7 linked regions of the Oryctolagus cuniculus genome follow. The protein of the gene in region 3 interacts with the protein of the main gene of each other region in a biochemical or structural test. Links are inferred from orthologs where the notes say so. Each region holds a gene or a part of one and is shown on either strand. Other genes may lie near its edges.

The links.
Region 1: of the proteins of EP300 (region 3) and SUB1, one has a biochemical effect on the other in vitro, tested with the Homo sapiens proteins (2 studies listed by BioGRID). The link is inferred for Oryctolagus cuniculus from reciprocal best matches to the Homo sapiens genes EP300 and SUB1.
Region 2: the proteins of EP300 (region 3) and GRIP1 form a complex in vitro, tested with the Homo sapiens proteins (2 studies listed by BioGRID). The link is inferred for Oryctolagus cuniculus from reciprocal best matches to the Homo sapiens genes EP300 and GRIP1.
Region 4: the proteins of EP300 (region 3) and GABPA form a complex in vitro, tested with the Homo sapiens proteins (2 studies listed by BioGRID). The link is inferred for Oryctolagus cuniculus from reciprocal best matches to the Homo sapiens genes EP300 and GABPA.
Region 5: of the proteins of EP300 (region 3) and MAPK1, one has a biochemical effect on the other in vitro, tested with the Homo sapiens proteins (2 studies listed by BioGRID). The link is inferred for Oryctolagus cuniculus from reciprocal best matches to the Homo sapiens genes EP300 and MAPK1.
Region 6: of the proteins of EP300 (region 3) and KAT2B, one has a biochemical effect on the other in vitro, tested with the Homo sapiens proteins (4 studies listed by BioGRID, with this or other methods). The link is inferred for Oryctolagus cuniculus from reciprocal best matches to the Homo sapiens genes EP300 and KAT2B.
Region 7: the proteins of EP300 (region 3) and APEX1 form a complex in vitro, tested with the Homo sapiens proteins (4 studies listed by BioGRID, with this or other methods). The link is inferred for Oryctolagus cuniculus from reciprocal best matches to the Homo sapiens genes EP300 and APEX1.

The regions. Positions count from the first base shown.
Region 1 is NC_091445.1:58,700,015-58,704,188, reverse strand, and holds the start of SUB1 (activated RNA polymerase II transcriptional coactivator p15), read right to left. Parts: upstream 2,801-4,174; 5' UTR 2,666-2,800; intron 218-2,665; 5' UTR 217-217; coding exon 145-216; intron 1-144.
Region 2 is NC_091442.1:68,865,628-68,869,730, reverse strand, and holds the start of GRIP1 (glutamate receptor-interacting protein 1), read left to right. Parts: upstream 1-1,303; 5' UTR 1,304-1,944; coding exon 1,945-2,197; intron 2,198-4,103. UniProt on the Homo sapiens protein: May play a role as a localized scaffold for the assembly of a multiprotein signaling complex and as mediator of the trafficking of its binding partners at specific subcellular location in neurons.
Region 3 is NC_091442.1:117,159,742-117,163,925, reverse strand, and holds the start of EP300 (histone acetyltransferase p300), read right to left. Parts: upstream 2,801-4,184; 5' UTR 1,620-2,800; coding exon 1,526-1,619; intron 1-1,525. UniProt on the Homo sapiens protein: Functions as a histone acetyltransferase and regulates transcription via chromatin remodeling. Acetylates all four core histones in nucleosomes. Histone acetylation gives an epigenetic tag for transcriptional activation.
Region 4 is NC_091435.1:20,152,970-20,157,006, reverse strand, and holds the start of GABPA (GA-binding protein alpha chain), read left to right. Parts: upstream 1-1,237; 5' UTR 1,238-1,376; exon of another isoform or gene 1,377-1,905; intron 1,906-2,208; exon of another isoform or gene 2,209-2,788; intron 2,789-4,037.
Region 5 is NC_091452.1:29,050,752-29,054,251, reverse strand, and holds part of MAPK1 (mitogen-activated protein kinase 1), read right to left. Parts: intron 2,064-3,500; coding exon 1,947-2,063; intron 1-1,946. UniProt on the Homo sapiens protein: Serine/threonine kinase which acts as an essential component of the MAP kinase signal transduction pathway. MAPK1/ERK2 and MAPK3/ERK1 are the 2 MAPKs which play an important role in the MAPK/ERK cascade.
Region 6 is NC_091435.1:155,767,391-155,770,890, reverse strand, and holds part of KAT2B (histone acetyltransferase KAT2B), read right to left. Parts: intron 2,962-3,500; coding exon 2,753-2,961; intron 1,473-2,752; coding exon 1,346-1,472; intron 1-1,345. UniProt on the Homo sapiens protein: Functions as a histone acetyltransferase (HAT) to promote transcriptional activation. Has significant histone acetyltransferase activity with core histones (H3 and H4), and also with nucleosome core particles.
Region 7 is NC_091443.1:54,294,492-54,298,439, forward strand, and holds the start of APEX1 (DNA repair nuclease/redox regulator APEX1), read right to left. Parts: upstream 2,801-3,948; 5' UTR 2,664-2,800; exon of another isoform or gene 2,485-2,663; intron 2,338-2,484; exon of another isoform or gene 2,336-2,337; 5' UTR 2,268-2,335; coding exon 2,210-2,267; intron 1,995-2,209; coding exon 1,807-1,994; intron 487-1,806; coding exon 294-486; intron 160-293; coding exon 1-159. Other genes in the region: OSGEP (tRNA N6-adenosine threonylcarbamoyltransferase), read left to right, coding at 3,193-3,307.

The sequences.
Region 1 (4,174 bases), on a different chromosome or scaffold from region 3:
TTTCTAATTCTGCCTGTCAAATAAATAAATAAATAAATAAATAAATAAATACTCGGGCATGCCTTTCACTGTTCCTCAGGATTAGATGTGGGCAACATTGATGGGTCAAGTACGACAAAAATGACTGAGTGTAGTAATACTCACCTTTTTGTCAACTTCACTGTCAGAATCACTGCCAGATGAGCTTGAAGAAACAAGTTCCTTTGACTTAGGCATTCTAAAAGAAAAATGTATTGTGTAAATAATTTACAAGTTGCCCTATTACCTCAACTACGCTCTTCCTCCCATTTAAAACTCATCGACACACCGTACGGTTCATTCTACCACTTTGTGATACACAGATCATTCTGCTGAGCACAAGCTTTAAATCTACACTCTCCTAAGTTGCAAATAACAGTAAAATATTGTGAACCAGTGAGGAAAGAGAACATTCACACTCACATTCCCACCTCAAAGCCCATGGATCTTTTTATACTTCACTTTAGTGGGGTTAGCAGTTTATGGGTAGGGTGATCGTAAGAAAGCAGCTGCTAACATTTACTGTTAAAACCCAAAGAAACACAAACAATTTCACTCAGTGGTGCTTCATAGTTCTAATGACAGCAGAAACTAATGTAGAATTATTCACTGCAAGGAATTTATTCGTACAACAGGGGGAATAGCTATACAATGCTGATGCGGTATCTAATTAACTTTGTCATAATGACTTTTCCTCCTATTTCTTATGTTAATTTTGACTTTTTGGCCATATCATCAAAATAACAGGTATTATTTCAGAGTTCACAATGTTACATATTAACTCAGAGTGATTCAGTCCATTTTACACTTATTTTCTACTCCTGAATATCATTTTAAATCATGAAGAATCTATTTATGAGAGCGACTGGTACCATCCAGTTTCCCAGTTCCTCCCCAGAGAGGTTCACAGCCCAGTACTTTACTTGCAACTGGACTTTACTGCCAAGGGGAAGGAGAGCACTATCAATAAACCTCAGCCCCAGTTGTAAGAAACTCCAGGCCCGTGAGCCCGCCTTTGCAAGGCACTCAATACCAGGTGCTAAAGCGCCAATTCTCAATTTAGCTTTTGCTTTCCCCATCTCAGAAGAGAATGGGTCCTATTAATTTCTGTATGCCACTAAGGGCCTAATAAAGACAAACTCTGAATGTCTGGAAGGGGGAAAGGCTTCAGTTTCCTTTTAGAAAAAAAAAAATCAAAATCCAGCTCTCTAGACTAAACTTGTGCAGGCCCTGGCATTGAACGTGTTCCACAATAAGAGGTCAAGGTAAAAGAAGTGGGCCATCCCAATCCTGGCCATGAAATTCAAAAAGCCCAAATCAGCCCAACTCAGCCATGTTGATTTTAACCGGCAACTGCTTGAAGACCAGAAGAGTAAATTCAGAGAGGAACAGCGACATCCAAAGCACAGCTGGTACATTTTTTTTTTTCCTTTTACTGCTCCATTTTTACAACCTAGTCTACAAAACAAATTTAGATCTTTTTTTTTTTTTACGCCAGCTGCTACTTTAACTGCCAAAATGCCTTTTTTGAAAAGGTAATCAAGTCGAACATATATTTTTCACTTTAAAATGGTCTAGCCCAACTATCACCGTTTAGTAATAGCTGCCTGGAGGCCTAAGATCATTTCAAACTCCCACCTCCTATTTAATCTAAATAAGGTAACAACAAGGTAACGGCAACTAAGCCCAGTTCTTCGAACTTTCAGTAATACACTTTTTTTTTTTAATGTAATGAGCGGCTTTACTGTTCCAAAAAATGGTGGGACAGGCAATTCATTAAGAACGTTCTCACAGAATACACACAAAACGCAATTTAAACGAGAAGTGGGGGGAGGACCCTTGGTCCTTGCCTGCCGGCTCAGGGAGGATCAAGAAAAACGAGGTGAAAATGAACTAGGACAGAAGGGCACAGGGACTCGGTGCCACACCGGCGTGGAAAGCGCCAAGGCGGGGGAGGGACTCGCTCCTGCCAGGAAGCTGCTAGAAGCCGGGACTGGCGGCCGCCCGGGCGAGGGGAGACAGGTTCGGTCGGAGGGGGCGTGGGAGGCAGCGAAGTGCGGAGGAGACGGCGTGAGGAGAGGAGGGACTTGCACCAAGCGCCATTTTCTCCTCTCGAAGCGCTCGCTCTCTGCCCCCTCGCGCCGCCACCCTGCCTTCCTCTCCCCCGCCGACCCCCTTCCGACGCCGCCGCTCTCCCCCCCCCCCCGTGAACCCCTCAACACACACCAGCGAGGGGCCGGGGCCGCAAGGAGGACGGGGCAAGCCACAGGCCCCACGCGCGTCCCCGTCGGGGGCCCGGCCGCAGCCGCATTGTCCCGGGGGCGTCCGCGGGACCCTCCCCGCGACTCCCCGCCCCCGCCCGGCCGCGCCCTGAAGCCCGGAGCCGCCACGCCCGCCGCCTCTGCTCCCATCGCTGGAGCAGGCCTCGGGCGCGAAGGGGCTCTCGGCGCGTCGGGCAGGGGGTCGGCGACGGAGGAGGGGGCTCACGGACGCCGAGGCGGGGAGGGGGGAGGTCAGCCGGAACCGCCATTTCCCACCGCCGGCAGGGACGCGGAGGGCGGCGGGCTGCTCGCGGCTCGCCGTCCAAGGTTGGGGGTAGGCCGGGTCGGGGCACCAAGGGTTGGGGGCGGGGGGCTCGCATACTCACGCTCCGTCCCTGCGGCCGAACACTCTGCTACTCGCTCGCGACTGACAGAGAAGCGGAAGTGACGACAGCCAAGAGCCTCTAGCCCTGCCCTGCTGGAGCCGTGCACACGTGACGGGGCGTGGCCTCCTCGCGGAAACCGACACCGAGACCCTTTCCAGGGCCTTAAAGGGACCGCCTCTCTTCCAGAATGGTCTCTCAAAAGAGGTGCCACAAAGGTTGGGTGATACCTTTGAGGGAATGCGGAGGCCCATGAAAGCACTGAGCTTTCCACTGCTTCAATGTGTGTTCTATTGAATTGGGAGGGCGTACTGAAAAGATCAACATTCTGACCAGTTTTCCCAAAAGTGATGCTCCTCCCACCCCACCCTAACCCTGTCTCCCTGCCGTGGCTCCTATCTGCAAGAAGGAAGCCAAAGTGTCAGCCTTTGGTTCTGGAGAGTGCAAGGAGCCTTTGCAGAAGCTCTGGCCACCAGCACTTACCCTAAATGGAAGTCCTGAGGCGTAAGTTCACAGCAAGATCCGCACCATAAGCGGGAACCAGGTGAATAGGGTATTTGCTGAATGCCTATTTATTCAACCAGGATTTACCAAGCAACCGCTGAGTGAGAAGGGGGTTGAGGGGGGGCACAGTGGGTAAGCCGCTGCCTGCAGCTCCACTGGTGTCTCAGCTTCAGCTTCCTGCTCATGTGCCTGGGAAGGCAGCAAAAGATGGTCCAGGTGGGAGACCAGGAAGTCCCTGGCTCCTGGCTTCTGCCTGGCCTATGTTGGCCATTTTTAGGCCACTTGGGGAGTGAACAAGTGGTTGGAAATCGATCTTTAAAAAAAAAAAAAAAGGCAGCTTAATTTACTCATTTGAAAATCCAGAGTTATAGAGATGGGAAGAGGCAGAAACAAAGAGAGACAAAGATTTCCAACCACTGGGTATCTCCCCAGATGGCAGCTTCATTCAAGTCTCCCACGTGGATGCAGGGGCCTAAACACGTGGGCCATACTCTGCTGCTTTTCCCAGGCCATTAGCTGGGAGCTGGATCTGAAGTGGAGCCCCGGAGACAGGAACCAGCACCCATATGGGATGCCAACATTGCAGGTGGCAGCTTTACCCGCTCTGTCACAAGAGTGGGCCCTAAATAAATCGTTTTTAAAACGAATAAGTTTTCAGGGCATATTGTGGTCCCGCAAGTTAAGCCACCTCTTAGGACGACTCCGACATCCCAAATCAGAACATAGATACAAGTCCTGGCTGCCCCGCTTCCCATCCAACTTCCTGCTGATGTTCCTGGAAAGGCAGCCAATGATGCACCAGGTGCTTGGGCCCCTGCACCCGCGTGGGAGACCTGGAAGAGGCTCCTGGCTCCTGGCTTTGGTCTGGCCCAGCTCCAGCAGTTGCAGGAGTGAACCAGTGGATAGAAGACGTCTCTCTCTCTCTCTCTCTCTCTCTCTCACTCTGCCTTTCAAATAAATAAAATAAATCTCTTTAAAAAATGTAAAAGTTGCCTGGAGTTACACAGG
Region 2 (4,103 bases), about 48 Mb from region 3:
ACTGAGTTTGACTTGAGCTCCCTAGTTCAAAAACTCACTGTCTTTCATCTGTGATAGTAACCAATTCATACTGTTAGATACAGAGAGGGAAGAAAGATGATTGTGATCCTGAATTACTAAGAAGGTATTTATCATCGTAGCTGCAAGAACATATGATGTCAGTTTAGCTCGTCTCAATCTAATTAATATCTTTTTATCCTTCTTTTCCTAGTTGGCCTTTTTTCTCTTTATTCCCTCCTCTATCACATCCTTTAGACAAAAGTTCTTCATCAAAGGTTCATACAAAGGTGGACATGTATGAGTCTCAGGAGTCCTAGAATTCATTGTATCTACCAGCCAAATTGCATTTTTGTGGGAAGATGAATCCTGATTTTCTCCTGATTCTCAAAGGTTTCTGTGTAACTCCATTACATTGGAAAGACCAAGAAATATCCCATGGATGGAAAATATAGGTATTATGAGGTCACATAATATAACATTCTGAAAACACAGTGTATCCACTCGAATATCAAAGAACTGAAAAAGTGAGTACTTACTCTTTACAGTTATGTAAATATTGTTATCAAATGACTGGCACCCCCTCCACACACAAATAGCAATAGAAACTTAAGGCATTTTAGAGAAGGTAAAGACTAGAGAACTTGGGCACCCAACTTCATTGCTGGCATGTTAACTGTGGTAAGCAGTTAGGGAACAGATGATATGGGCTGTTCCAGCACACAAGACAGTGGTCAGTTTGGACCAATGGATAGTTTAAGTTCAAGCTTGAGAACCTCTTGAGGTTCAACGATGGCTGCTGCTTAACTACTCTACTACTTTGGACAAGTTACTTAATCTTCATGTATCATTATTTTCTCATCTGGAAATTGAGGGTGCTAATAGTAACAACCTTTTTTTTTTTTTTTTTTTTTTTTTTTTTTTTTTTTAATTTTTTTGACAGGCAGAGTGGACAGTGAGAGAGAGAGACAGAGAGAAAGGTCTTCCTTTGCCGTTGGTTCACCCTCCAATGGCCGCCGCAGTCGGCGCGCTGAGGCCAGCGCACCGCGCTGATCTGATGGCAGGAGCCAGGAGCCAGGTGCTTCTCCTGGTCTCCCATGGGGTGCAGGGCCCAAGCACCTGGGCCATCCTCCACTGCACTCCCTGGCCACAGCAGAGGGCTGGCCTGGAAGAGGGGCAACTGGGACAGAATCCGGCGCCCCGACCGGGACTAGAACCTGGTGTGCCGGCGCCGCTAGGCGGAGGATTAGCCTAGTGAGCCGCGGCGCCAGCCTAGTAACAACCTTTTATAATCTGGGGGAAGACTCAGTAATTGATGTAAGGTGGTAATGAAAAGATCTCCTTTATTAAACTCTTAGGGCAAAGCCAGAATGTAGGAAGATCAGAGGACCCCTCCTCCTTGTCAGCATTAATTTCCTGTTCCCTGGTTTCTATTTGCCATCACTCTTGTGCCAGGGCCAATTATTGTTCTCCTCTTGTTTTCATTTATGATTTTCTCTGTCTGACCAGTGGGAAGGAGACAGGTGCAAAAATGAAAATGAAAATGATTCTGAAGGCTTGCTTTGTTTTAATGTAGCAAATAAAAATACCCCAAGATTCCAGAACTACTCATTCAATTGCATAAAACCAAAAATAAACATAAGCAACATCTCTTTTATTTTCCACCTAGTAAGGCTCATATACTGAGTTCTCTAATACAGTTTATACGTGCAGCCATGTCCATGAAACTTACTGTCAATCAACATTGTTGAATGCCCAGTATACATAAAGCATTAAGGGGGATAGAGTAGTTTCACTTATAAAAAGTAGCTATATGTGATGAAAGACTAGCAAGGATGCCAAGAGTATTGTCCTCTAGTTCTATTTAACTGAAATCTTGTATACCTTTCTTTGTGTTTAGAGTTTTTTGAAAGATGCAAGGACATTGCTGCCCATTTTGAGAAAGCCATGGCAAAGTCAGTTAAGAAACACCAGTTTAGCTCTTCTGAACCTTATCTTCCAGCAACTTTAATCCTGAACAGCATCTCCTTTAATACTGATGGTTCCATCCAATATAAAGGAAAGTCATTTTTCTCTGCCTCCGAAGCCCTAGCTGCTTACATTGATGATTTTCACTTAAGCTGTGAACCTTCTGATATTAATGATACAAAGGTTAACCAGGATCAGAGCCCTCTTGAATTTCTTGCTAAGTCAAACAGTGGTAAGCTTTCATCATTCTGAGTTCAATGTTTAATTATGTATAGAAAGCTGTTGTCTTAAGAGGTATATGTCCTAAAAGATATGTTTTCTTAGAAAATAGTTGTCTAGTAGTTCATGAATCTCTTTATAAGGTTGTTATAAAATCTTATGTTTCTAAAATTTTTTCAGCAATGGATTCTTTTGAACAGAGAAATTACAGAATTAATTTTAAAATACAAGTTGCTGCAGTAATTTCAGAGAGGCAAACTCCAGATTTGGAGTCTAAAGCTCTGGTTTCTGGGTTTGAAAATGTTAAAAAAAAGTCATGTAAATTCTGCAAGCCAAAGATACCCCTTTGTAAAATAATAATGATGATCACTTCACATGGTCATTGTTGGAACTAGATGAATGTGAAAACATTCTGTAAATTGTTGCAGACGTAGGGTTCTTGGGTTCTTTGGAGCACAATTAAATAACAATGTGATAGAGATCTGGTGACTGACATGGTCTGGATCCGACTTTGCTAATGACAGGGTATAAGAAGAGTCTCTCTGGGCTTTGGTTTTCTTGTCAATAAGATGAGGATATTGAATTTATGAGTTCCATAATTTTAAAATTACATATTATGTAGGTGACAGAAAAATAAAATTGGGCCACACCAATATTTTAGTATTTCTCATTTTAAGAATATCATTTGTAAAAGCTGAAACAAGTTTATCATGAAACCAAAACTGGATGAATCAGAAATACTAACACCAACAATAAAAATGCCTACTCTTTTGTTAGACATAGTTTTAAGACCATATGTTAGTGTCCATAAGAGAATATTAGGAAACTACAAATGTACAGTGATATTTACTGATTGATGTCAGACTATAATAACAACTTAGCATATTACTGTATGCCATACTTGATATATGCAGAGTAAGAAGAGGTGTAACAGCTTCCTGTTTATTAAATGAAAAAAAAAACATAGAGCTAAATGAGGACTCACAAAGTAACATAGTTGTACACAAGAGAAAAATCATGCTTCTTTATGCTAACTCGTCTGGTTTGACTGTTGAACACTATTTGACAAGTGGGGAGGCATGATACAGGGACTGAGCATGAAAGTGTGGTTTAAGTGCCCATGATGTCTATGCAACTGAAGGACAGGCAGCATTGTAATACTGTCAGTATTACAATGACAAGGATTTTGTTGTTTTTTTATTTTGTTGAGGTTTGATAGTAGAGTTTTTCATTTTGTATGTTTTTTATGTTTATTTAACAAATTCAATGTGCTTTGTAGATACAATTCCAAAACATAATATTATTCCCTTTCTTCCTCCCTCCCATATCTCCCTCCCACCTTCTTCCTTTTTTAAAAAGTTTTTGAGATAGCATATTTTAAAATTACATTACAGTTAAAAAGATTAATACTTCACCAAATAAGAAGTTTAATAAGTACAAAGCAAAAAGGCCCTAGGTGAGTGGGAATATAGATGATGGCTGTAAGCAATAATTGAATGAAAAAATGACCATTTCACCCATACACAGTAAAATAATCACAGATCATTAAAACTAGAGTTTTTGATTTTTGATTTTTCTTGAATCCACAAACAAGAGGCCAGATAAAGGCAGTTGCTTTTTCCCCATATCCTCTGGAGCTATTAACTCCACAATCAGTGGTATTCTTGACAATTACTCATAAAGGTAAATAGAGTTCCCAATTTTTTCATTATAAACATATTATGTTACAAACTATGCAACAGATAAAGGGTTGATAACCAGAATCTATAAAGAAATCAAGAAACTCCACAACATCAAAACAACCCACTTAAGAGATGGGCCAAGGACCTCAATAGACATTTTTCAAAAGAGGAAATCCAAATGGCCAACAGACACTTGAAAAAATGTTCAAGATCACTAGCAATCAGGGAAATGTAAAT
Region 3 (4,184 bases):
AAGGAACACAATACTATGTGTGTGCATGAATTCTGAAGTAAAAAAAAAAAAAAAATCCTCAAAGACTACAGAAACACAAGGTTACCCACACAAGCTGATGTTACAAACCTTAGGTGGAGAACTGCAAGATCCTTAGCTGTAATCTTTTTCAGGTTAACAAACTCATGTCTTATGATGATACATCTTTCTTAAAAAGCAACAAATTCATAGCATGCTATAATCCTCCTATTTTCAGCCTTTAAAATGAAACCTACTTAGAAACGAGCTCTAGAAGTTGTCTAACCAACTTCTGGGGTGCACTTAACTCCATTATGCACTCGCACTGGCAGCCAGAGGGATGACGTTCTGGCGAGTTACGGGGATGCTCCACAGTTGGGGAACAGCCTGTGGACTGTCAGATGGCCAGCCATTCTTCTCTTCATTACGCCGGCATCTCAAACAACCATGACAGCCAAAGAGAAGGTCGGTGGCCATCAGGAGACAAGCGTAAGAGAAAGAGGAGGAGGATGCAAGAGGTCTCCCTCAACTTCTCCTAACAAAGGGATCAGTCCACAACTGACTAAAGCAAAGAATTCATAGAGCTTTGAAACTGAAATCTCCAACTCCAGAGACGTTTTCAGGGGAAGAGGACAAAACCACACACAAACCAAAACCTACAGCATATTTTAAACTTCTGTACAATCAGTTCAAGTTGGAGTTCACGACTGGAACACTCAACTTCGTTCAAACTGGATTCCCAGGGACGTTCCTCCGCAGAACCGTCTCTCCTTTTTGCTTTCGTCCAAAGTGAAAAAGTGACTACAAACTGCAAGAAAAGGCCTCGCATTCCCAACCTGAAAACCCAGAGTTTCAGACATTTTGGTCTGACACCGAAGAGGAGGGGGATGTAAAAATGAACTGCGCCCCATATTGATTCTCAGAGCAAACAGAAAAGAAAGAAAAAGAAAGAAAGCTGAGAGTGATGGGTAAAATAATTCGGTTCAACTTCACATCAAATCTGAAATCTGGATCTCACACAAATAAAACCAAGGTCTTTTTTTTTTTTTTTTTTTACATCTTATTCCTGCTCAGATTATCTTGTGCAACGGAGAGAAAAAATTTTGAAAAAGAAGAGTGGAAAGTAAAAGGAAGAGGTAAGTACAATCGAGGAGAAAAGGCTCGCAAGTTTTCATCTACCACCAACAAAACACATTCAATCTAGAACTACGTAAAAGCCCTCACACACAGAAGCATCGGCATTCCCGAAATTGAGTGCACGGGGCAACAATAAGGGCCGTTTCTATCCAGCGAGCGCTAATTCCAGAACACACATCGGTTTGACATAGTGTTGCAACCAATGTATTAGGAGGCCAAGAAAATGGTCGGGCTACTGGACGTCTTCGACCAGCTCATTCAAACACCTTTAAAAATTAATTGCGGAGCAGGGAAGTGGGAAGAGAGGGAAGGGGGGACATATACGCATGTAACATGGAAGAGGGAAGGTGCACCGGGCAGGAACGCGAAAGGCTGGGGCCGGAGGACTAACCTGTGCCGTCGCTGGCCGACGCCGAGAGGGCCGGCGAGGAGAGTTTAGGCCGCTTGGCTGAAGGCGGCCCCGGTTCCACCACATTCTCGGCCATTTTTAATTCTTTCGGAGATACGGACGAAGCAGACGAGAATCCTCCGAAAAAAATCTCTTCTTCGGCCCGGGGTCCCGCCCCGCTCCCCGCAGTGGGCTCGGGGGGCTCCGCCGGCGGCCGAGGGGGGTGGGGGAAGTTCCTTTTTCTCTCCGCCGGGTCGCGGTGACTGGAGAGGGATGCGGACTCGACAGAAAAGGTAGGGGCAAGTGCGAGGGGCCGGGCCTGCGCCCAGGCCCGAGCAGGGCAACGGGGGCCCAAACCCGCCGAGCGCGTCCGCTGCGGCGAATTCCCGAGAACTCGCGGCTCTAGAGGCGCAGTCCCCGGCCCGCCGCGGCCGGCCCCTGCCCAGCCGAGGTCTCTCGGAGCTCCGCCGCCGCCATCAGCCTCTTCCTCCTCGGCGCTGTCCTCCTCCTTCTCATCGCCACAAGGAGGCGGGGGCGAAAAGGGGGGAGAGGAGGAGGCGACGAGAAACACTCACCTCCTCCCGGTGCCCCCTCCCGGGCCTGCGCCCCCACCCGCCCAGCCCTCCTCCTGCCGCCGCCGCCGCCGCCGCACCGGCCCCTAATGGCCGCGGGAAGCTCGCCCGAGCCGAGAGCCAGGCTGGCGCCGCCGCCGCCTCACATCGCGCGGCGGCCGGCGGAGGCGCGGCGAGGACGCCCGGCGCGGAGCTCGCCGGCCCGCAGGGCCGAGGGGGCCGGGCCCGCGCCGAGCCCACCGAGGAGGCCCCGCTCGGGCGGCGGCGCAGGCTGCCTGCTCTCGCGCTGCGCTCTCCTCCTCCTCCTCCTCCGCCCTCCTCTCCCGCGGAAAATAAATAAATACGGCCGCCGCCGCCGCGGCCCCCACCCCGGCCGCCAGGTGCCCGGAGCGCCCGCCCCTCGGGGCTCCGCTCGGGGCCGCCCTCGACGGCGGGCGAAGGCGCTGCGGGGCGCGGGGTTATGTAATGGTCCCCCCTAGGCGTCGACGCCGGGCCCGGCTGCCGGGCCGCGCTGGGGGTGTGTGCAAGGCGGGAGGGGGCTGGGGGTCGCCTCAGCCCGTGCGCCCCGGGCCCCCTGCCACTGTCTCGGCCCTGCCGCCGCTCGCCGGCCCGGCTCCACGCCGCGCTCCTCCGCTCCCGCAGTTCGCACTCAGCCCGGCGTCCCGCTCGCCCACTCGCGCCCGCTCCCTCTCGCCCTCTCTCCCCCCCGAGCCTAGCACACAAACAAGATGGCGGCTGTTGTTTCTTCCCTCTGCCGAATCCTCCTTACAGGCTAGCGGTAGCAGCGGCGGCCGGAAATGAGCCAAGGGGGGGCGAAAAAAAGGGGCGGGGCCGCGCCGCCGGAGGGAGGGGGCGAGGGGCGGGGCCAGGGCGCGAGCCGCTCACACAATGGGGGAAGAGGAGCCGGGGGCGGGTCCTGTTCCATCACGGGATCCGCCCAAGGCCCCAACGCGGCTGGCGCTTCCGCAAACTCCCCCGGCGTCACTCGGTGGCTCCCTTTAAAGGGGAGGATTTCAAGGCGGGAGGGGGGAGCCGGGGGCGGACTCGGGATCTATTTTCAGTCGGTAGACAGTGACCGGGAAAGTGCCTGGGCTGGGTCTCCCTGCCTCGGGGGCCGGTGGCCGCGGGGGTGACGGAGCTGAGGCGCTACGCCCGGGAAGGCGCCAAGTGTCCGTCCGCGCAGGTGGCCGACGGGGAGCCTCCGTGCGGACGGCCTTGGGCGGCCGAGTTCACCCGCCGGTGGCCACCCGCCGCCCGGAGTTGGGGGCCGGAGACCCCAGCGCATCTTCACGTCGCCTTCCCCGAGCGTGCCCCCACCCTGCCCAAAATCACACCGGTTACGGGTTGTTTCCACAGTCTTTGAATTTTCCTTTTTTTTTTTTTTTTTTTTTTTTTTTTGGACAGGAGACGCGTGTGGTACTTTGATAATTAGGAAACAAACCAACCAAGAAACCCCGCAGTCCTGGGAGGATGCTTTAGGACCCGCCACGTGTCCCCCCCACGCCCCGACCAGGTGGGGCCCGCCCCGAAATACTTTTGTGGACATGCCTCGGCCCTGAAGAGAAGTTTAGGGTCTATCTTCCCACTCCTCTTGGGCAGGCCAGCTTAAGGAAAGATCACGTGTCTTACAAGATAATGTGTTTATGGGGGGGAGGGGAAGCGATATGCTAAAGGTAGTTTAAGGAGGGAGGCAGGAAACAGAAATGTGGCTTGCTGAACGTAAAGCCCCCAGCCCAGGAGCTGGCTTCCTCGTGGTGAAGCCGGGTTCCTGTGTTTGGCATTTGGAGAGTGAACCAGTGGATGGCAGATCTCTCTCTCTCTCTCTGCCTTTCAAGTAAGTGAAAAACTTTTTTTTTTTAAGATTATTTATTTATTTGACAGGTAGAGTTATAGACAGTGAGAGACAGAGAGATCTTCCTTCTGTTGGTTCACCCCCCAAATGGCCGCTACGGCCGGTGCTGTGCCAATCCCAAGCCAGGAGCCAGGTGCTTTTCCTGGTCTTCCATGGGGTGCAGGGCCCAAGCACTTGGGCCATCCTCCACTGCCTTCCCGGGCCACAGCAGAGAGCTGGCCTGGAAGAGGGGCATCCA
Region 4 (4,037 bases), on a different chromosome or scaffold from region 3:
CCAACTGAATACATCTACACCTGTTTCCCCTTTTGGCAACCCAAGGACATTCAGGTTCAACAACTGATCTTTGTTCAGACCTAGATACTGTGCCCATTACTTCCATATACATTCTTTCCTTGTGCCCCTACTGTGATATCCTTAAAGAGTTACAAGTGTTTTATCCCGCTTTACAGATGATAAAATTATGTTCAAGAAAAGTGATTAATCACCCATATTCCCATAACTAAGGTTGACTGCAAAGATGTGATTCCTACTGCAACACGGGTGGAATCTATTTTCATTTTTTTCAGTATCTATCATGTAGCTGCCAATGATTTCCAAATCACGTCTCTAATTCTAGTCTTTTTCCTGGACCCCAAACCCATATATTCAAAAGCTCTCAAGCCCTTGCAAGTTCTACAAACTCATCGAAAAAATGAACAGATACGCTCATATGAAAACTTGTTCCTTCCTTATTCCCTTTTCCCCCTCATTGAGTACGTGTGGATTGTCCACGATGTCACGCCTAAGACACACATAATTACACAAAGAGATTTAAAATGCCATTTGTGACAAATTCTCTATTCGAGTACCATCGGATGCCACAAGAGCCTAGGAAAGGGATTCCAAGTAGGACTGGGAACCTCAACACGAGGGGTTACAGCCAGCACGCAGGCCCCGTGGCGGGAGGGGGCCTGGTTCTATTTATAGTGGTGACTGACCAGCCAAAGGTTACCCAGCTCGCTGCCTCCTTCAGTAAGAGTTCCAAAAGCCAATCACAAACATTTCAAGCAGGGCTTTTAAGATGACCACTACCCTGTTCCCTCTTAGGGTGCAGGTCCTGCCCCGCGCTTTAGTGCCGGAGAATCTCACGCGCGCCTCCATCAGGCAGGCGGGGCCGCGACCCCATCCCGCACATCTGACCTTGGGCTGTCCCTGGCAGGCCGCGGGCCCCAAGACCCCTCGGCCTCCCGCACTCCCCCGGTTTGCCCACAGAGGCACTATCCCTCATTTACTGGGTCTGCGGCACTCTTCGAAGAGCAGAAGCGCCGAGGTCAGCTGTGACCCCGAGCCAGGCCCTGAAGGTGCTAGGGACACAGGACTGCGCTGCCCTCCCAGTAAGGCAGAGGTGACGGGCAGCCTAGGCCGTGTGAAGAAACCCAGAACCGCAGTCCCAAGAGACCGAGCTGGTCTAGTCACCCTCCCAGTCACCTTGCACTCAGCCCCGAGCTGCCAGAACCGCCGCCGCCGCCGCCACCGTTCCACTTCCGGCCCTGACTCCGCCCCCACACGCCTACCCGCCATCGAAATGCATTATGGGCCGCCGTTTCAGTCGGTCGGCACTCACCGGACAGGAAGCGTCTCGGAGGCAATCTGCGACCGGACGGCTCTAGGTGAGACAGAAGCCAAACAGGAGGAGGAAGTGGAGGGTAACTGCTTCCGGGTCCTCTAGCGAAGCCTCCGCCATCTTTCCTTCGCCTAATTTGACCCGTTCGCTTTTTCCCTTCTGGAAACCTTACTCTACGCATGCGCACTTCGGCTGGCCTGTCCCGAGTTCAAGCTCCCCCCCTCCTAGGCAGCGTCCTGCTCTTTAGGGGTTGTTGGGGTGTATGTGAATGTGCAGGGAAAGTGAGAGTGTGCGAAACACGCGGATTGGGACGTGGCGCCTCGTGCGCCGCTTGCGCTCGTTTCCCGCACCCTGCTGGGAGTTGTAGTCCCGGACCCGGGGGAGCCTGGGAGGCGGGAGGGGGTTCGGGGTTTCTCGGCGCCGATTCCGCGGGAAGGGCCCAGGGGCCTCACACTTGGAGTCCTGGGAGCTGCAGGGCTCGGCCCGGAGGGACGCTGCACGTGGAGCCCGCGCCTCTGCCGTTCGCAGCCGGCCCCGGAGCGCGGGCGAGAGCGCCAGGGCCGATTCCGGAGCGGGTGAGTGCGGCCGCGGGGGAGGAAGGGAGCGCGGGCCCGCGCGGGCCGGCCTCGTTCCGGGGCCTTTTCCCCCACCGCGGCCCCCCCGCGGCCGCCTCTGTGTTTTGTTTCCGCTGGTCCCCGGCTCCGCGACTCCCATTTCCGTTCGTGGAGACTTGAGGGAGCGGGGAGGGGCGGGGGGCGCGCGGCGCGGGGCCCCGGAGCGGCGCGCCTGCTGCCTCCCCGCGCTTCCCGGTCTCCTCGCCGGTTTGTGCGCGGTGGGCCGCTGTCCCCGTGGTCGCGGTTTGGGTCGGACGCCCCGGGATTTCGGAGGAAGTTGCAGACCCAGTCTGCTTCGCCGGACTCAGCGATTCACTCGCTTCAGATCCGCTTAGGTCTCCGTGCTGTCACACTTGCTCCAAAACCGTACTGTTGACGATAATGTCTGCTTGGGGTTTTTGTTTAAAAACGAGGAAATGAGCTAGCGAAGAGCTAATGTACCTTGCCAACTTTTATAGTGTTTCGTGCAATACAAGATACAGCTCCGTGATCACGTTTGGATTCAGGGCTCCGAGTTTGGCGCGGATAACGACAGAGCAGACAGTGTCTTAATACTGCATAGCGAAGCGATGAGTAGTAATTTAGAAATGAAATTCTGGTCACAAGCAGTTCTCGCCGGTAGAAATACACCTGACTCGGAGATAGCAGATTAGCAAGAGTTCCCATGGACCGCGTGGAACAGAGCAGTGAGAACATTCTTAGGTCATGCATTGCCTTAAACTGAAGAATAAATTGGTCGACTCTTCAGCAACAACTTTAAAGGACCCGTTCTCACTCAGGCTTTGACTTGTTCGTTTTCAGATACATCCTGCCACTGCATAAACAAGTCCATCATACCTGGATTGTATGTAACGTGACTTTATGATCATATAGTCATAAAGCACCTAATTAAGCCAGTTAAGTTGGAAGCAAGTCATGAGAACATGGAGAGGCCGAATATTAAATTTAAACTTTACTGTACTCTTTCCCCCAGCTCATTATTTATAAAACTTTAAGCCCGGGGTTGGCGCTGTAGTGTAGCGGTTTAAAGCCCTGGTCTGCAGTGCTGGTATCCCTTATGGACACTGGTTCAAGTCCTGGCTGCTCCACTTCCTATCCAGCTCCCTGCTATGGCCTGGGAAAGCAGAAGATGGCCCAAGTCCTTGGGCCCCTGCACCCACATGGGAGACTTGGAAGAAGCTCCTGGCTCCTGGCTTCGGCTCTGCACAGCTCTGGCTGTTGTGGACATTTGGGAAGTGAATCAATGGATGGAAGACCTTGCTCTCTCTTTGCCTCTGCCTCTCTGTAACTCAGCCTTTCAAATAAATAAATAATTCTTAAAAAAAAAAAATCTTTAAGCCTGTAATAAAATTGAACCATATAGTGAACACCCGTATACCCCTTACCCTAGCCTGGGGTGGGAGTGGGGGTCATCATTTATTAACCGCTCGCCATATTTGCTTTTTCCTTTACATGGCACATGCCTGTATGCACACATACAGAGACTTTTTTTTTTTTTTTTTTTGACAGAGTGGACAGTGAGAGAGAGAGACAGAGAGAAAGGTCTTCCTTTGCCGTTGGTTCACCCTCCAATGGCCGGCGCGCTGCGGCTGGCGCACCGCGCTGATCCAATGGCAGGAGCCAGGAGCCAGGTGCTTTTCCTGGTCTCCCGTGGGGTGCAGGGCCCAAGCACCTGGGCCATCCTCCACTGCACTCCCTGGCCACAGCAGAGAGCTGGCCTGGAAGAGGGGCAACCGGGACAGAATCCGGCACCCCAACCGGGACTAGAACCCGGTGTGCCGGCGCCACTAGGCGGAGGATTAGCCTATTGAGCCGCGGCGCCGGCCAAGACTTTGTTTTTCTTAATGTTAACTTTATTTTTTAAAATAAAAATGTGTTAAAAATATTTGTAAGCTAGGGAAAATGAGCAGTTGACCATGCAGGTACTCATCTGGACTGCACTTACATTTCTTTTTCCTGCATTAGGAAGAATGGTCCTAAGCTCTGTAAACTAATAATGTGAAGGACAGTCCTCAAATTTGTATTTCAAAAGGGAATTACATGTATATTTTGAAGGACACTAGCCTTTTTCAAAGTTTCTAGTTAAATTTTCA
Region 5 (3,500 bases), on a different chromosome or scaffold from region 3:
AAGCTTAACCTGCTGCACCACAATGCTGGCCCCTCTTAAAATCCAAAATAATCTTTGTTTTTGGCCAAAGTTAAATAAAGGGAAATTTAAAACCAACATGGACACGCACCCACACAGCACCAAGCAGAGGTGTGTTCTGATGCACTTCACAGAGAAGGAACAAAGCATCACTGCTGTGGTACTTACACAACATGCGTGGTTCTACAAACCAGCTTACCTGTGTTCTGCAAAAATGTCGCTGAGTGAATGCTGATCGTCTTAGGTGGGCTAAGGGTTCCCTGGCTTTAGGGAAGTACACCCCCTTTCTAGAAGTATCAGTGTTTCCCAAGGGGGCACGAGTGAAGTGACGGACCAGGCTGGTGCAGAGTGAAGACGGTCAGACCAAGAGGAGAGCGCGGAGAAGACGAGAGGAGAGAAAGGTGGGGAGCAAGGGGAAGGAAGGGTATGATGCCAACGGCAGGGGAATGAAGGTGAGGGGTACAGGGGCAGTCACTGTACTCTCAGTTTTTCTATGGGCTTTAAAGATTTTTAAGTTAAAAAAAAAGAATAAAGTTGAACACGTCACTAGAAAGATGATCCTAGGCTAGAGGTGTTACAAGTAAATGAATCTCCACAAAGGTTCCCACACAGTAAGCCCATAGGTAGAAGGGGCGAGAGCCTCTGGAACATGCAGAGAGCCCACCCTGTCTGGCTGTGTCCCCCTGGGGGGCAACTGGGGCACCTCAAGATGGAATGGCGACACGAGACCAAGTAGCCACCAGATGAAAGACACACGGGCACCCCTTGCTAGGAACGACTGTCCACGGCTGGCTGGAGATGCAACCTGCTGTGTGGGATTATTTTAACACAGTTATGAGAGTCAACACAGCACTTTCTTCTCTGAAACATCTGTTACACCAAATCCTTCTTTCTAGTGGAATTGATCTTAATGAGCTTACTTTTGGAACTAAAATGAACAAATGTAGGTTATCAGGGATAACTGCTTTAAATAATCCCATTTCCTAACTACAGTAATCTAACGGCTTCTCCTTACTTGCGGAGGACGGAGGAAGAGCATGGAGCCTGTGAGCTTAGGAGCCCTGCTCTTCCATTTCCACCCAGCCTCCCGACTTCACTCCTGGCTCCTGGGCCCCAGACTTACGGTGCAATGTCTGTTCACATGACTCCTCCCACACTACTTTCCAGCAGATGGGGCTGTGCTTAGGAATCTCAGAGTCCTGCGATACCAGACAAACGTAACCATGCCAGGCCCACCTAGCTACCTAATTTTGGCTCACACGCTCTCTGCAAACGAGGCATGAAAAGCCACCGTATTCACGGCAGCCTTCAACTTTTGCCTGCTTGCTCATAACCTAACACACCCGTCACCCTTTCGCCTTCTGGTGCTTCTGCAGAGGTATTCAATCATTTCTGAGGAGACACACAGATCTTAGCAGAGCTCAGATGCGACAGGATGCGCTCTCCACAGCCACGTGGAGGCACAGGGGAAGGCCCTTTCCTGGCAAACACAAGTACCATGTAACTTTGAAGGAATCACAAGAGCTGTAGGTCTTCTTCAGGGAGAAGAGACATTCCTCATTATAAAGGTACAGCTGATTTAGACAGCACAGCCCTGGTTCGGTGCTGAGATGACCAGGAAGCCTCTGGTACATGCCCAGGCAGTGGTGTTGGTAGGTGCAGCTTCCACAGGCAGGACTGACCAAATGGCAGGACACAGACCACTTACAGTCACAGCGACCGGGAGGCTCAACCTGACGCGAGGACAGGTCAGCACCACCCCAGCCACGGTGCAGTGGCTGAACCAGGGCCCAGAAGTTCTAACGCAGTACGATGAGATAAAACAGTGCCTTGGCTCCAAGCCTCCACGCAAGTAGAAACAGGTTGGAGAGGGAGGCCTCCTACAACCCACATGCAAGGTTTTCTTTTTATGCAAACTTGGTCCTTACCTTGGAATTCAGCATAATTTCTGGAGCCCTGTACCAACGCGTGGCTACATACTCTGTCAGGAACCCTGTGTGATCATGGTCCGGATCCGCAACGCGGGCCAGGCCGAAGTCACAGATCTGAGAGGGAAAACAAAACAAAACACAGGACATGTCTTAAAGATTCTAAACAGCCTGACATCAGAACATCATAAAAATAAAAACAGAAAACAGCAATGATACAAAAAGTAGTTTCTTCTATCACCACGCAGCAGACACTTGGTGACAAGTCTACAAATTCACAATTATTTAATCCTCCCAACAATCAGGATGGCAGTGATGATGCTCCACGCGTCAGGGACCAGGAAACAGGCTGGCTGAATCAATAGGGCACAGTGTAAGGGGCTCTCCTAGCTTTCACTGTCTGCTTAGCACACCACAGTCTTGCTTGGGTGAATTGAGAAAAATGGTTCTGGCTAAAGTTACGAAGCTACTTGGGGCCCTTTTTTGGCCCTGTTCTGCAGGGGCTCCTGGAATCATCACTGCCAGGACCCCCACTTGCCTTCTATTTCTCAAATTCCCGTTGGCCCATCAGTAGTTATTGCAAAGTTGCTTTCCACTTCCTTCCCCTTCTATGTAGTCAAATCTACTCCCAAAGGCGCAGCTCTGGCCATTGTGGCCAACTGGGGGAGTGAACCAGTGGATGTAAGACCTCCCTCTCTCTCTCTGTCTCTGCCTCTCCTTCTCTGTGTAATTCTTTCAAGTAAATAAATAAATATTAAAAAAACAAACAAACAAACAAACCCACAACTCTTTTCAAGACTGTCAAAAGACAGCTTGTCTCATTTTCCTTTTTTCTTTTTCTAACTGCTGCACCAAAGGTCAACCAAGTCTAACTCATACTACTCAGTCGAGTGCCCAGGCTACAAAACGTTGAGAGCAGTGACAGGGAGTGCTCCACACAACACAGAATGTGAGGGCAGTGATGGCGTGAGCTCCATGCCATGGAAGGGAAACTTGGTTAATCCTCCGCCTGTGGCGCCGGATTCTGTCCCAGTTGCTCCTCTTCCAGTCCAGTCTCTGCTGTGGCCCAGGAAGGCAGTGAAGGATGGCTCAAGTGCTTGGGCCCTGCACCTGCATGGGAGACCAGGAGAAGCACCTGGTTCCTGGCTTTGGATCGGCCGCAGCACGCCGGCTGTAGCAGCCATTTGGGGGGTGAATCAACGGAAGGAAGACCTTTCTCTCTGTCCCTCTCTCTCTTTTATTTATTTTATTTATTTCTTTATTTTTTTGACAGGCAGAGTGGATAGTGAGAGAGAGACAGAGAGAAAGGTCTTTCTTTGCCATTGGTTCACCCTCTAATGGCCACCACGGCTGGCGCGCTGCGGCCGGCGCACCACGCTGATCCAATGGCAGGAGCCAGGTGCTTCTCCTGGTCTCCCATGCAGGTGCAGGGTCCAAGGACTTGGGCCATCCTCCACTGCACTCCTGGGCCACAGCAGAGAGTTGGCCTGGAAGAGGGGCAACCGGGACAGAATCCGGCGCCCCGATCAGGATTAGAACTCGGTGTGCCGGCGC
Region 6 (3,500 bases), on a different chromosome or scaffold from region 3:
TTTTGGTTAAGGAGAAAAAATGATAAATACAGCAACAGCACCATCTAAAGACATACTGTCAGAATTCCTTGAAAAGAAGCCAGAGATCCGTTTCACGCAAACGTGGGTCTTTACTGCCCCAGTCAGAATGATAAACGTAAGGCTGCTGAATCGCATTTGCCTTTTGGTACTTAATGCTAGAAGTCAAAGACAAAAAGCTCCACTTGTGCTTTGTGAGAACAACTACATCACAGCAGCTGTACTTGGCACTGTGACTTGAGAAAAAAAAGCCACTAATGAAAGCAAAAGTACCAACTGCATTGGTTGTCACCCTCAAGTACAGAATAATCCCTTTCAGTGACTTATTTTTGGTTTATGTAAATAGCATTGCTTCTTTGAAGGCGAAGGAGCCAAAGATGTCCTTAAGCCTGCATTGTTTCAATTCTGGCATCTCTGCCAGCACCTGAACTGTGGCTAGTCCAAGGTGAAGGGTGCTAGAAGGGTAAAATCCACTTGATTTGAACCTGCCACTCAGATGGGAGACCTGGGTGGGGTTCCGGGCTCCTGCCTGCAGCACGGAGCTCCAGCTGTTACAGCTATTTGGGGAGTGAACCACAGGATGAAAGACCTCTTTCTGATCTGCCTCTGTCTCTCTCTCTCTCTTTCTCTCTCTCTTTCTGTGTATTTGTTACTCTTTCAAGTAAATAAATAAATCTTAAGAAAAAAAAAACATTAAATCATAGCTACAGTTCCCAGGGAGGGACTGATGCCAAGAACTATTGGGAAGGTAAACCATGACATGAAAAAGAAACAAAACAAGAAAACAAATTTAAAAAAAATTCCAGCACATGCCAAAACCTCCATGAATACTCTAAAATTTAATCATAAACTTATGCAAATTTTCCACAACTCCCCTTTACAGACAAGGGACAAAGTCTTAAGAAATCTTTGAGAAGTGTAAACTGGCCAAATTTTTATCCTAGTCCACATCAATTATACCCTTTCTAATGATTCAGTGTTACCAGTTGTGTGTGTGTGTGTGTGTGTGTAAACTGACAATGAAAATGAAAACTGAGCTTTATTTCAAATATCCTTTCATTTGCTGAATTACATGTAAATTTCACATTGGGTTATACAGTTTCCCTGTACCTTGCCCCAAGGTCCAACAAAGCCACGGTACAGCCTTACTTAGTGGTGTGTGGAGCCACCTATTCTCACATAACATATCCATATACTTGCAGTGAGTGTAGTCCTGAATTCTACTGGAGCCCTCTCTGGACACAGCACAGAGAACTTCCCAAGCTCTGCAGCTCTAGCAAGAAGCCCCACGTTCTCCTTTTCTTCTGAGACCTTGGATTACTCTTACCTTGACTTGTTCATTTGAAGTTACAGCACAGAAAACAATCTCTGTGAATCCTTGGGATGGGAACATACGGAAACATATACCACCAATAACACGGCCATCTTTAATTAAAGCGAGGGTTTTGTGTTTCCTGAAAAGAATAAAATTACATTAAAGTTTTACTATCCACATTACAGAAATATATTTTTAGGGGTATGCCTTCATCTGGTCACTATCTTGTTAGACCATCCTTTATTCTGGGCTTCTTAGATCAAGCTTGCCAGCACAAGCCTTCTTCACAGTGCCCACCACAACAAAACACCAGTCACCTAGGAACCATCTGCAGCTTACAGATAGAGAACAGAGTGTGCATGGAGTACTGTGGCACTGGCAGCCCCCACACCAAGGACCCCAGGGTGGGAGGTCAGGGGCGGACATGAAGCAATGGTCAAACACATGTCCTCGACAAGTTTAGCCTTAGTCAAAAATATTACAGAAACAATATGGAAGAATATGAAATTCACATGTACAGTTTGCCAGACCCCCATCAGACCCTCTCTCTGTCTCAAGTATCATTCTGAATTGTCACACAAGAAGATCAGAGTCCACATAGGCTGTTGAGCTATATATGTCAAAATACATTTAAATAAATCAATTTGGGGTTTAGGGTTTTAAAAAAAAATTTAAAACAATGGATTTGCAGAGTTAATTTGACTTATTTCTCAATAATTTTCCCAACTTTTACCAATATGGGCAACAATGAAACCTAGTTAAGGTATTAAAACTAGAAGCCTTTTGACTATTAAAAAAAAAAAAAAAGTGGGATATCGTCTTAGTGTGTAGTTCTCTCTACTCTATAGTAAACGAACACAGCATAGTCACCAAAAAACTTAAAATATAAAGCTTCATCATCATTAACAAGAAATTATAGAGGCTGGAGTTGTGGCACAGCCCATTAAACCACTGCCTGAGATGCTGGCATCTGATATGGGAGTGCTGGTTAAAGTCCCAGCTGTCCAGCTTCTGACCCAGCTGTATGCTAATGTGCATGGGAAAGAAGCAGAAGATGGCCCAAGTAATTGGGCACCAGACACTCATGGAGACCTGCATGGAGTTCTATAAAGTGAACAAATATTTGTGGCCATGTGGGAAGTAAACCGTGATGGAAGATATCTCTCTCTCTCTCTTTTTCTCTGTCTTCCTGCCTTTCAAATAAATAAATATTTATAAAAGAAAAATGTGTAAATTGTGGGGAAATCAACTGCAGTACCTTTTGACATGAAAATCAGCTTGATGAAACTCCATAGCACATCATCGCAGGAGGGAGAAGAGACTTCTGTGGTAGACTGTGGCAGACTTTCACCATCTAAGTAGTTTGTCTTCCATTGTAAAAGGAAACAAAGAAGGAGGAAGAGCTAACACAAAACTTACGGGTCAAAGACGAGCCGCGTGATATACTCTTTTGGCATTCGGGGCAGCTGATGGGAGAACACATTCTGCAGGCCGACCAGCCACATCAGGATCCTCTTGTTCGGCTTTTGGTTCAGGGAATTGCCAACCACGTGAAATTCAATCACACCCCTGCGCTCTTCCAGCCTTGCTGCCTCATCCCTTGCTGAATGGGCTGACAGAAAATTGGTCTGGGATAGAGAAGAGAGCAGAAAATCACAAAGACTAACTCTCTTAAGACAGTGTGGACGGAACACAGCAAACCTTCTCTTCTTTGCTCTAGTAAGATACTTATTTGTGGATTTTCTGGGTCCTAAATTCACACACATGTGCATTTACCAATACACATACTCACATGGGTACACTCACGTGTATACAAGTTATAAAGACAAAATAGAAGAGGTAGGTAAAGCACTTTGAGAAACTAAAGTACTGCAGGTGTACATGGATGAAATCTGGTACAAAATTAAGGGTCAGCAAATTTTTCTATAAAGGGCCAGATAAAAAATATCATAGACATTGCAAACAATTAGGTCTCTGTCACAAGTACTCAACTCTGGCTGCAGGACAAAAGCAGCCACAGACAATAAGTCCAAGAATAGGTGTAGCATGGAGCCAAGATGGTGGACAGAGGCCCTGCACTTGCCTCTACCACAGAGAAGAACCAGAGCAACTAAGGAAGGACCATGATCCCAGGAAAAGGACTGAGGGAAAAGTTCAGGAAAGAAGT
Region 7 (3,948 bases), on a different chromosome or scaffold from region 3:
CCAAGCCCTTCAGGAACTTTCGGAAGGCTTCGTCCCAGCGCTGGCGGTACTCCAACCTTACCAGACCACGGCCCGCGTTAGGCACGTAGGCTGTTACCAGCACGAACGCATCAAATTCAGCCACAATCACCCGGCCTTCCTGATCGTGTTCTTCCTCACCTACAAAATCAGTGCAACAGAATCAGCATAAAGAACTGCACGAAGAGAAGGCAGGGAAGAAAGGAATCGGAGTGGGCCAGGACAGTATCAGCAGTTCTGGAAGCACTCAGGCACTGGGGGCAGCAGGCTCTTACCAATGCCATAGGAGACCTTGAGCGGGCACTGGCGGGAAAGGAGGCCCACCCCGCTGTATCCTTCCTTGTCTGAAGGAGCTGACCAGTACTGGTGAGGTAATCCAGGCAGCTCCTGAAGTTCAGCTGGCAGCTTGTTCTCTGAACACTTGGTCTCCTGGAGGCACAGAATATCTGGGGCTTCTTCCTTTATCCACTGGGAGTGAAAAAGGGGAAAAAACATCAGCTCAGGAGACTTTTACTCAATACATGTGCATAAGCAGCTCTGTGTAGCAGCACAAATCTTGGACAATTATTGTAACTGACAATGGAAGGAGGTAAAAAAAAAATCTTAAATGCTACACTAAGAGATTGTGTTTTTTTCTATAGGTAGCGGATAGCCAGCTAAGATTTTGTTGGTTGTTTTTTAGACTTAAAAAGCAAGATTTATGACAGTCAAAGACATCCAGCCACAACAGCATGGAGGGGGACTTCCAAGAGAGGAAAAAACCCAAAGGGGCTGGTGTTAAGGGTTTTTAAGTACAATTCTGGGGAAGAAACTGTTAATAAGGTGGGGACAGGGACCAGTGCTGTGGCACAGCGGGTTAACACCCTGGCCTGAAGCACTGGCATCCCATATGGGCGCCAGTTCAAGATCCGGCTGCTCCATTTTTTTGAGTGGGAAAATAGCTTTATTTCTCTGGGGAGCAGGTGGGCGTTGGTTTCAGAACTTCTGGAACTGCTTCTTGGTGCCATCGGCCTTGGTGACCTTGAGCACGTTGAAGCGCAAGGTCTTGCTGAAGGGCCGGTACTCGATTTATTTTGTTTATTTGAAAGAGTTACAGAGAGAGGTATAGACAGAAAGGTCTTCCATCTGCTGGTTCACTCCCCAGATGGCTGCAATGGCCAGCGGCTGCTCCACTTCTGATCCAGCTCTCTGCTATGGCCTGGGAAAACAGTAGAAGATGGCCCAAGTCCTTGGACCCCTGCACCGGTGTGGGAGACCTAGAAGATCCTGGCTTCAGATGGGCGCAGCTCTGGCTGTTGCAGTCAATTGGGGAGTGAACCATTGTATGGAAGACCTCTCTCTCTCTCTGTAACTTTGCCTTTCAAACAAATGGATAAATCTTTAAAAGAAAAGAAAAGGTGGGAATGAACCCAACAGAAGACCTGATTTACAATCCTTTATGCTGTCTGGCTTGCTCAGGATGAAACATTAGAGCCATCACAAGGGCAGCTAAGACTTTTAAGCAGTAGATTTGGGAATGGAGGGTATTCTGGAGCTAAAATGGAGGCTGGCCAGCACAGAGGTTTTTGCAACAGTCGGAGGAAGGATACATTAGTAAGACTGGCAATGGCAATGAAGGAATGGACATTCCAGCAAGTCTTGGTTCATCTTCTACTGCTTTCCCTTTGCCCCTTGTACTTCTCCCACAAGAAAAGAAAGGAGAAAAAAAAGTTACATCCTGGGCATTAAAATGAAAAGACGCTAATGAAGCCCTGAGACCATTCAGCATGAAATCTGAATTCCACTCACATCTAAGCCTTTCTTCTTAATCCAGGCTCGAAGCCCATCCACGTTCCAGGAGCAGATCTTCAGTGTGGCAGCTTTGCCGCTAGGTGAGGTTTTCTGGTCTGGGGGGTCCTCATACAGCACGGGGCCCTCTCCTGCTGACTCTTTTTCATTTTTCTTCGCTGCCGTCTTAGCCTTCTTGGTCTCTGGCTCTATAACGAGAATAATACGTAGGGATAAGAGCTGGAGGTTTCCAACATCGAGTCAGAGTCCAAGGCAAACGCACCGCGACCCTGCGGTTAGCGCGACTTCCTCTCCTGCGCCCGCTATGAGTTGGCCCACAGCTAACATTTCGCCAAGGGACTCAGAAGCAGCCCCCCCAACCCCGCCCACCGCGACTGGCAGGGAGAGGCCGCTTCACTCTCACCCGTCTTGGGCTCCTCCCCGTCTTCTGCCGCGGCCCCCTTCTTCCCTCGCTTTGGCATGCCTGTAACGATCGCCCTTCGGCACCCGAACCACGTCGACCACCGAAGCAGTATCTTCACCGCGATGCCTAAGGATGCAAAGATATACGACTCAGCCGGCGAAGGCTGGGGAGAAAACTCCTGCCCTGGACGGCCCCCGCACTAAGTCCCGCCTTTCAAACCACATAATCTCTGAATCCTGTCCCCGCCTCGGTGCATCAGGCCTTCGGCGCTTCACTCCCCAACTAGATCTATCCATAGAGCGTTTGAATCACCGCGAGATCCGCTCTACGGCCAACGGGAGACCTTTACTAAAGGTCCCGTGAGGCAGCTAGCGGAGGCCCCTCCAACAAGCAAAAACGCAGCGCTGCACCTGACCTGCTCCTGCCCCGCTCCTGCCCCAGCCTGGCTCCTTACCCGAGCACAAAGAAGGGAGCACGCTGGACGCCCACGTGGGTAACTGGCGTGGTCACGTGACCCGAGGCCGCGCGTGATTGGGCCGTCTGCCACCACGTGACGGAGACTCTGACACGCCCCTCTCACTCCGCGGAGGGCTGAAGGTCCCAAGGCTCCGTTCTTGGGCTGTTCACGTTCGTGCCTGATGTACGGCTCCTTCTGCCGCCCTGACCGAAGGAGCCGGCGCCGTGCGAGGGGGCAGAAGCTCAGTGGCAGCGACTGGGCTGGGCCGCAGGAGAGAGGCGGGGGAGTGGACTAGGCAGGGCCGGCGCAGAGGCCGGCTCAGCGCTCCCGGCAGCTCCGGAGACAGGTTCCGGAAGGGGCCTTGTGGGTCGCCGGCGGGCGCAGGCGCAGGCGCGGGCACTGCCCCCGCGGCAGGTTTTGGTGTCCGGGCGCGGTTTACTGTTTACCAACAGCGTGCCGGTACCGCCCGCCGAGGGCTGTCGCGGCTCGGTGTTTGGCGCCTTGGCGTTCTCTCTCAGGCGGCGCCATGCCGACGGTGCTGGGGTTTGAAGGCAGCGCCAACAAGATTGGCGTGGGAGTGGTGCGGGATGGCAAGGTGCTGGCCAACCCGCGGCGGACCTATGTCACGCCTCCGGGCACAGGTGAGTCCTGGACTTAATTTGCGACGACCTTCCCCGCGCACATCACCTATTTCCCTGAACACCAGTGAATGGGGCCCGGGGAATTTTGTCCCATTTTACAGCTCGTTGAGGTTATGTGATGTTATTGTCAGAAGGCGGATGAGTGGAAGAGCCACAGGCGCTTGGACCTGAATCTTCTGGGGTTGTCGAGCTTTCATTGAATGCTTTTTGCGTACCAAGACCTCATAAACTTGTAGAAATCTACCCTGGAGTCTAATGTATAAACGAATTGTAACAGCGTGATGAGTGGTGTAATAGAGATGGACTCAAAATGTTGTAAAATGCGGAGGAGAGACGTGAAGATGGAAGGAATTAGGATTTAGGTACCGGATAGAATTGACTGGTATTGGGATACTCTTGACTTTTTTTTTTTTCACTTTTTAATGTTTGCTTTTTGCTTATTTTTATCTACTGGAAAGGCAGGGTGACAGCCAGCCAGAGAGAACCTCATCTACTGGTCCACTTCCCAAATGCCTGCAGTAGCCAGGGCTGAGTGAGGCAGAAGCCAGGAGCCAATAGCTCCATCCGTGTCTCCCATTTATGGGTTGCAGGGGCTCATACTCTTGGCCATCATCTGCTCCCTGCCAGGGTGCACATCAGCA